2 linked regions of the Elephas maximus indicus genome follow. The protein of the gene in region 2 interacts with the protein of the main gene of each other region in a pairwise test. Links are inferred from orthologs where the notes say so. Each region holds a gene or a part of one and is shown on either strand. Other genes may lie near its edges.

The links.
Region 1: the proteins of MIA2 (region 2) and TTC23L interact in binary tests that used the Homo sapiens proteins (3 or more experiments, as listed by UniProt). The two-hybrid records come from large-scale screens. The link is inferred for Elephas maximus indicus from reciprocal best matches to the Homo sapiens genes MIA2 and TTC23L.

What each region holds. Positions count from the first base shown.
Region 1 is NC_064820.1:39,871,902-39,875,653, reverse strand, and holds the start of TTC23L (tetratricopeptide repeat protein 23-like), read right to left. Parts: upstream 2,682-3,752; 5' UTR 1,828-2,681; coding exon 1,775-1,827; intron 1,495-1,774; coding exon 1,420-1,494; intron 1-1,419.
Region 2 is NC_064828.1:51,521,991-51,525,742, reverse strand, and holds the start of MIA2 (melanoma inhibitory activity protein 2), read right to left. Parts: upstream 2,399-3,752; 5' UTR 2,361-2,398; coding exon 2,246-2,360; intron 1-2,245. UniProt on the Homo sapiens protein: Plays a role in the transport of cargos that are too large to fit into COPII-coated vesicles and require specific mechanisms to be incorporated into membrane-bound carriers and exported from the endoplasmic reticulum.

The DNA.
Region 1 (3,752 bases), on a different chromosome or scaffold from region 2:
ACATGGTAACCACAACCCACAGATGACTACTGAATACATGAAATGTAGCTAGTGTGAGTTCAGTTGTACCATAAGCATAAGACACACACTAGATTTTGAAGACTTAGTATGAAAAAAGGATACAAAATATCCATCAATAGTTTATATGATACTATTTTAGATATATTGGGATAAACGAATTATAGTATTACGATTACATTCACCTGTTTCTCTTTATTTTTTCTATGTGGCCACTAGATTTTAAATTATTATCTACGTGGCTGGCATCTGTGGTGTGCATTATATTTCTTTCGTACAGCACTTGTACGGCTTAGTGGTTCTCAAGTGGGAGTGATTTTGCCCTGTGGATTATTCTGCAAAGTCTGGTGACTTTTTGGTTGTCTCAATTGGGGGAGATGCTACTATTATCTGGTGGGTAGAGAATAGGGATGCTACTAAACATCCTATAATGCACAGGACAGGCCTCAAAACAAAGAGTTATCCAGCCCGAAATGTCAAAAGCACCAAGACTGAGAAACCCTGGTATAGAGGAATAGTTAATGGACTTTGGAGTCAGACTGCTCAGTCTGAATACCACTTATTAGCTGTGTGGCTTTAGGTAAGTTGCCCAGCTCTCTCTGATTCAGATTCCTCATCTATAAAATGGGGTAACAGTACCTTCCTCATATGGCTGTGGGAATTAAATGAGTTAATATGTGTAAAGTATTTAGAACAGTGCCTAGTGCATAATATGTGCTCAACAGCATTAGCTAATATGATACGAACAATTGTTATTTACTCATCATCTCTTTATTTCATGAAACTGAATTCTAATTTACTCATTAACTGTTATATACAATGCTCTCTGACTTCACTGATCTTGTTACAACTAACTCAATCTTTACTTTAAAACACTTAACATTCCCTTAAGTTAGGAAAAAAAATTATTTTCCATTCTGCATTGGTTGTACAAGTACAAATGGGTTTTACAGCAGACTTGTTATAAAAACACACTGCAGAAATGGGGGAGGAACAATTCAGAAAAGGCAGGTGAGAACAGCTGCACAGCTTGAAGAATGTAATCAGTGTCACTGAATTGTATGTGCAGAAATTGTTGAATTGGTTTAGGTTGTGCTATGCATAGTTTTAACAACAACAACAAAAAAAAGTATAAGAAATAATGATAGGGAACTCCCACCAGTGACTCATCCGCAAGGATATGGTCTTGGCCTTAAATTGTAAATTGGTGTAGAAATATAGTCGTGTCCTAAGTTAAAATAAAATGCTTAAAGTACAAAAAAGAAAAAGCCTACATCACAGAGGCTCAACCTTCTCTTCTACAAACTGTGCATACTAAGCTTCTCACCCAGGTTTGCCTTGAGAGGAAAGCCCCAGTGTTTCAGACTGGTGAGTGTGACCTCAAGGCTTTGTAGTACTTACAAATGGAAGCATGAGTCCCAGTCACTGTCATTGTTGACGGTTGGAATGCGGATGGGGCTGGCTCGCATCTTCTTCCTACCAAGAAGCACAAGTGAGGCCAGCGTGGCCAAAAACGCTTAGAAGCTTCTTCTGTTTTTCCTCTATTAGATGCTGTTAACATTAAACTGAAACTGCCCAAATATACAACCCATCCTAAATCCACAAATAGATTACACACATTCATGTACGGAGACCCTTGGAAAGCAGAAATTAAACAGGGTTGCTAAATTAAATTTCATTCTCCGAATTTCTACTCCACATTACTTCTCCAAAATCTTCAGCCTTTTTTCTCCTCTTAAAAATCAAACACATTTACCTATTTACAGCATATTTATTTACATACAGCTCCTGGATCATCAAAACTTCCATCTCCTACGCCAGTCAGATAATGTTTTTGCAGGTATGAGAGCAAGCTGGATCCAAGCAAAGCGCCAGTTCTCAAGTACAACCAAAGTATGGTCAATGTACAGGTCAGTTCCCTTCCTTTTCCTGGGGCCATTTCACTATTCAATAAAAGACCCTGGTAAAGAAGCTAAAACTCGTGTCTATTTTGGTTCTCTTGTGGGCTGATGGGGAAAATTGTCGGAACTCATGGAGAAAAATGTGGTTTCTCTCTTGCGAAATTCAACTCTCATGGCTATCCCTGTAGCTTAAACATCAAACCCAAGTCGAATGCAGTTATTTATTGAATATTAAGCCCACCAAGCCGCTCCTCATTTCACCCTGCAGAACGTCCTTTGTTCCACCTGAGTCCTGAGTCGCTCTCTCTGACTCAGGCTCCGGAATATCCACAATCTGAAAATCGGAGAGGAAAATTTACTAACTTCTCTTTCAGAACCATGACCAGGTCGAAAGGGTCTGACCTCTTAAACTCCTCAACTCTGTTCCCATGAGGTTCCACACAACCTTTAATTACAGAACCAAATTTTGACCCCTCTCTCAAATACAGATCCCTTCTTCCTTTTCTGCTGTTCCGCAGCAACTTCGTGAATCCTGACGCCACAACCTCCCAGCGGCTAGTTGTCCGAACTCCTCCCAGCTTCTTTCTGGTAGGTGGTGCTCAGCCACAGAAGTTCTAACCCGATCAGCGGGGCGACCTCGCCGGCCAGGCCAGGGTTCCGCTGCGTACCTCGCCGGGGCTCGGCTTCCGAGGGCGGCGTCAAGCTCCCGGACTTGGACGAGCTCGTTCTGTCGCTTTGCGGTAGCGAGACGCTCTGCCAGGGATGCTTTTCTCCTAGGCCTCCCGGGCTCGGCCCCGGAGACAATGGCGTTGCCATGGGAACAGTACGCTGCGCTCGCGTTCGGAAGTGGAGCGCCCGCGCCCGTAGTCATGGTACCGCAGCGCACTTCCGGCCCTGGGGACTCCGAGCCGCTCCGGCCAATCGCAGCACACATAGCTCCACCGGGTTTCCGGTCCCCGCGGGCGTGACGCACGCGTTTTGAAACTGGTCTACAAACTTGCTTCCCTCCCTGTGATCCGTCCACTGTTGCTTTTTCTCGAAGGGACCCACCTAGGTGAAGGCGCAGGTAGTGGAGATACGTTCCGTCCAAGAAGCGCCCGATTCCGTGACCCTACCTCTGTAAACCTGCAAAGTGCGCGGGGCTGTGTCCAGCGACACCCTCTCCTCGCCCCCGTCCCCCCCCCCGCCCCCCGCGCTCTCCTTTACGTGCACCCTGCACCTCCACAGTTTCCCGAGTGCTCCAGCTATTCGGATCCCAGAGGAAAGACTCAGCTTTAACTGTCCATGGTGGTGGGGTCACTTACTGTGCTACCTGTTTCATTAAGATTTCAGGGATGCATGGTAGGAGAGCAGAAGACAGGAAGTAAGCATTAAAAATGGATCACTAGTTCAGCTAATGGTTAGCATTCAGAGAGTTTTTTCGAGGGGGGACGCACATTTTTGGTGAACACCACATAGACCTAAGTTACGCAGCCGTATATTCTTTTATCATCACCCCGCTTCAGTGGCCTGAGATACATAGTCGTACTCACTCAGATTGGACAGGTGTAAGAAGAGGGATTGTGCCATTACTTGCAGAAGTGACCAACATGCCCAAAGAACCGTACCTTCTCTGGCAGTCTTGTTATTAAGGGTGTTACGAACTTTGAAATGGACTAGCCCTTTGACAAGTCAAGTTGAAGCTAGTATGTCTGTCTCATTTTCAAAAAGAGAAGAAGCTGGTAGAGAAGGAAAATATTTACTAAGAACCTAAGAGGTGGTGTCTGTTCTTCCCAGTTCTAGGGTTGAAGTTTAACTGCTGTTGATCCAAGACTGCCAAGACAGCCTTTTTGG
Region 2 (3,752 bases):
CTAATAATATGTCACATTTTTAAAATTACATGTTGCACATTAGAAATAATTCTTTTATATTGGAGAGATATAACTTATTTAAAGCAACTCTAATATACTAGGATGTAATTTATTTTATGTCATAAAGCTACTAAAAATACATATTCTTCCCTGAGAGACCGAATTACTGGACTGAGGGCTGGGGGCCCTGGTCTCAGGGTACATCTAACTCAACTGGCATAACATAGTTTATAAAGAAAATGTTCTACATCCTACTTTGGTGAGTAGTGTCTGGGGTCTTAAAAGCTTATGAGCAGCCATCTAAGATACTCCACTGGTGCCACCCTATCTGGATCAAGGAAGAATGAAGACAACCAAAGACACGAGGGAAAGATTAGTTCAAAGGACTAATGGACCACAACTACCACAGCCTCCATCAGACTGAGTCCAGCACAACTAGATGGTGCCCGGCTACCACCACCAACTGCTCTGACAGGGATCACAACAGCGGGTCCCAGACAGAGCTGGGAGATGAAGAGAAAAATGCAGAACAAAATTCTAGCTCACAAAAAAAGACTTGACTTACTGTTCTAACAGACTGGAGAAACCCCTAGAGTATGGCTCCCAGACACTCTCTTAACTCAGTACTGAAGTCACTCCTGAGGTTCACCCTTCAGCCAAAGATTAGACAGGCCCATAAAACAAATTGAGACTAAATGGGCATATCAACCCAGGCATAAGGAGGAGAAGGCAGGAGGGTCCAGGAAATCTGGTAATGGGGAACCCAAGGTCAAGAAGGGGAGTTGTCGACACGTCATGGGGCTGACAACCAATGTCACAAAACAATATGTGTATTAATGTTTAATGAGAAACTAATTTGCTCTGTAAACCTTTATCTAAAGTACAATAAAAGTAAATAAATAAAATAAAAATATATATTCCTAACACCAATTTCCAAGGTCCCTGGTGGCACAATAGCTAAGTGCTCAGCTGCTAACAGAAAGGTTGGCAGTTGAAACCTACCACCAGCTCTGTGGGAGAAAAGATCTAGAGATCTGCTTCCATAAAGATTTCACCCTAGCAAGTGGCCATCTAGGATACTCCACTGATCTCACCCCTTTGGGAGCAAGGAATAATGATGAAAACTAAAGATACGAGGGAAAGATTAGTCCAAAGGACTAATGGACCACATATACCACAGTCTTTACCAGACTCAGCCCAGTACAACTAGATGGTGCCCGGCTACCACCACTGACTGCTCTGACAGGGATCATGATAGAGAGTCCCGGACAGAGCTGGAGAATAATGTAGAACAAAATTCTAACTCAAAAAGAAAGGCCAGACTTTCTAGCCTGACAGAGCCTGAGGAAACCCTGAGAGTATGGCCCCCCGACACCCTTTCAGCTCAGTAACGAAGTTACTCCTGAGGTTCACCCTTCAGCCAAAGAGTGGACAGGCCCATAAAATGAAACGAGACTAAAGGGGCATTCTAGCCCAGGGGCAAGGATTAGAAGGCAGGAGGGGACAGGAAAGCTGGTAATAGGGAACCCAAGGTTGAGAAGGGAGAGTGTTGACTTGTTGTGGGGTTGTTAACCAATGTCATAAAACAATATGTGTACTGTTATGAGAAACTAGTTCTGTAAACCTTCATCTAAAGTACAAAAAAAAAAAAAAAAAGATTTCATCCTAGGAAACCCTACGCGGCAATTCTACTCTGTCCAATACAGCTGCTAAGAGTTGAAATAGACTTGACAGCACGAACAATAACAACTGATTTCAATATTTTTACAAAATAAATAAATACAGAAACAATTGCTGTATGATAAATTTTAGAATGAATAAATCATGATGGTTTGAAATAAAAACATTTTTTGAAAACAGGAAAATTCTGATTCTGAAATAGAAACTAAAAAATATAAGGACTTTATATTTATATTGGTATGAATAGCCTATTCATACCAATTGATTATATTTATCTTAAAAAAAAAACAGTAAAACGGCTAATTTGTTTTTGATACATAGACTAAAACCAATAAATTTGCTGATATATTTATATGTCAGACTACTCTTTATCCATTTGTATATTTACATTTAATACTATCACAAAATGCCTTGCTTCCAGCATTTTCTTTTTATACCAAGCTGTAGTTTATAATTGCAAATATTCTTCAATATTAATGCTCATTCTTATCACACACATCCACAATTACACTAGATGTCATTTCAGAGCCTCAATTTAAGAGGAAAAGAAAAAAAGCAAACTTACTTTCACATTCCAAGTCGCCACAGTTTTTAAGGTCTGTCAACAGTTTTGTACTCTCCAGACTCTTTGTCAAAGAAATAACCAAAAGAAGGATTCTGTGAACTCCGAGATTCGCCATGCTAAAATGAACAACCAGGAATTCAAAATGAGCTTTAAACTGATTGTTCAGGTGGTAGATATGCCAGGCAAAACAGAAGATACCCTACTTTCTTCACTAAATATAAGAGAAAAAAAATTGAGTTTTTTTTTTTTTTTTTAATTCTTGGGTAACTACATTTTTTTCTCTCTTTTTAGTCTTAACTTGAGAGACAAACACTGTTCTCAATCTGCAGTGTCAGGTATCCAGATAACACATAACAGTTTAATAATTAACAGGGATTTTTAGTTGGACTAATGTCTTTATAAAGGTGGCCCAGTAAAACTGTCTCACTTAAAGGCACACTGCATACAACAGGATAGTTCTTAAACAGTCCTCCACGAAAAGGTAATCTCTGCCTAACGAAGTCTAAGGAAGATCAGTCAACAAGTATAAACTGAGTATTTGCTGCATGCAAATACCATCATCAGTGGAGAAAGTATATAGTTATATGTAGAAACAGTGATAACTTGTTAAAAGCACAGTTTTTGAAATACCATGATGAAAGTTATTTAAGAAAGCACCCGAATTTTCATATTAAAAAACCCTTCAGTGTTACTGTGAAGGTGAAATTTGTATTTCCTTAAGAATAAAAGGTAAAATGTATTAAGTACTTTGTTTCAGGCGGAAACCCTGGTAGTGTAGTGGTTAAGTGCTATGGCTGCTAACCAAGAGATCGGGAATTTGAATCCACCAGGTCCTCCTTGGAAACCCTGTGGGGCAGTTCTACCCTCCTATAGGGTTGCTGTGAGTCGGAATCAACTCAACGGCAATGGGTATGTTTCAGGTGCTATTTTAAATATTTAAGTGTATGATCTCATTTAACCCTCACACCAACTCTTTGAGCTAGGCAATATTATCATCCCCATTTTTTCATATGAGGAAACTGAGGCACATGGAAATTGGTTAAATCACATGCCCAATGTCACTTACTGAGTAAGGGAAGAAAAATTCAAACCTAGGCATGGTGACTCCCTATACCCTTAATCACTGTGCTTTGCCACCAAGGATCAAGTCATCTGCCATGAAAGATGTCCACTCTGTCTCCAACAATACTGTTCCAGAAACAGCAGCTACAGTATTAATTCAGGTTTTAAAAAGTATATATATATATGACAGAGAGAGATGTCCAAAAGAATGCTCCCTAACACTGTAGGAGTGTGTAGTGTGACTTCAGATGGTATTCACTTTCTTCTTCCTGTTTTTCCATATTGTTTGACTTTTTTTTAAATCAGTAAGCATGTATATTTTAAAATAACAATAAAGCTATTAAAATCAAGTCATCTGAATGTTACTGCCACTTCAAAAGAATCAAAGCCCTGTATTGGAAGCTTATGTGTAAAACAAGGTATTAGTAGATTGGCAGAACCCAGT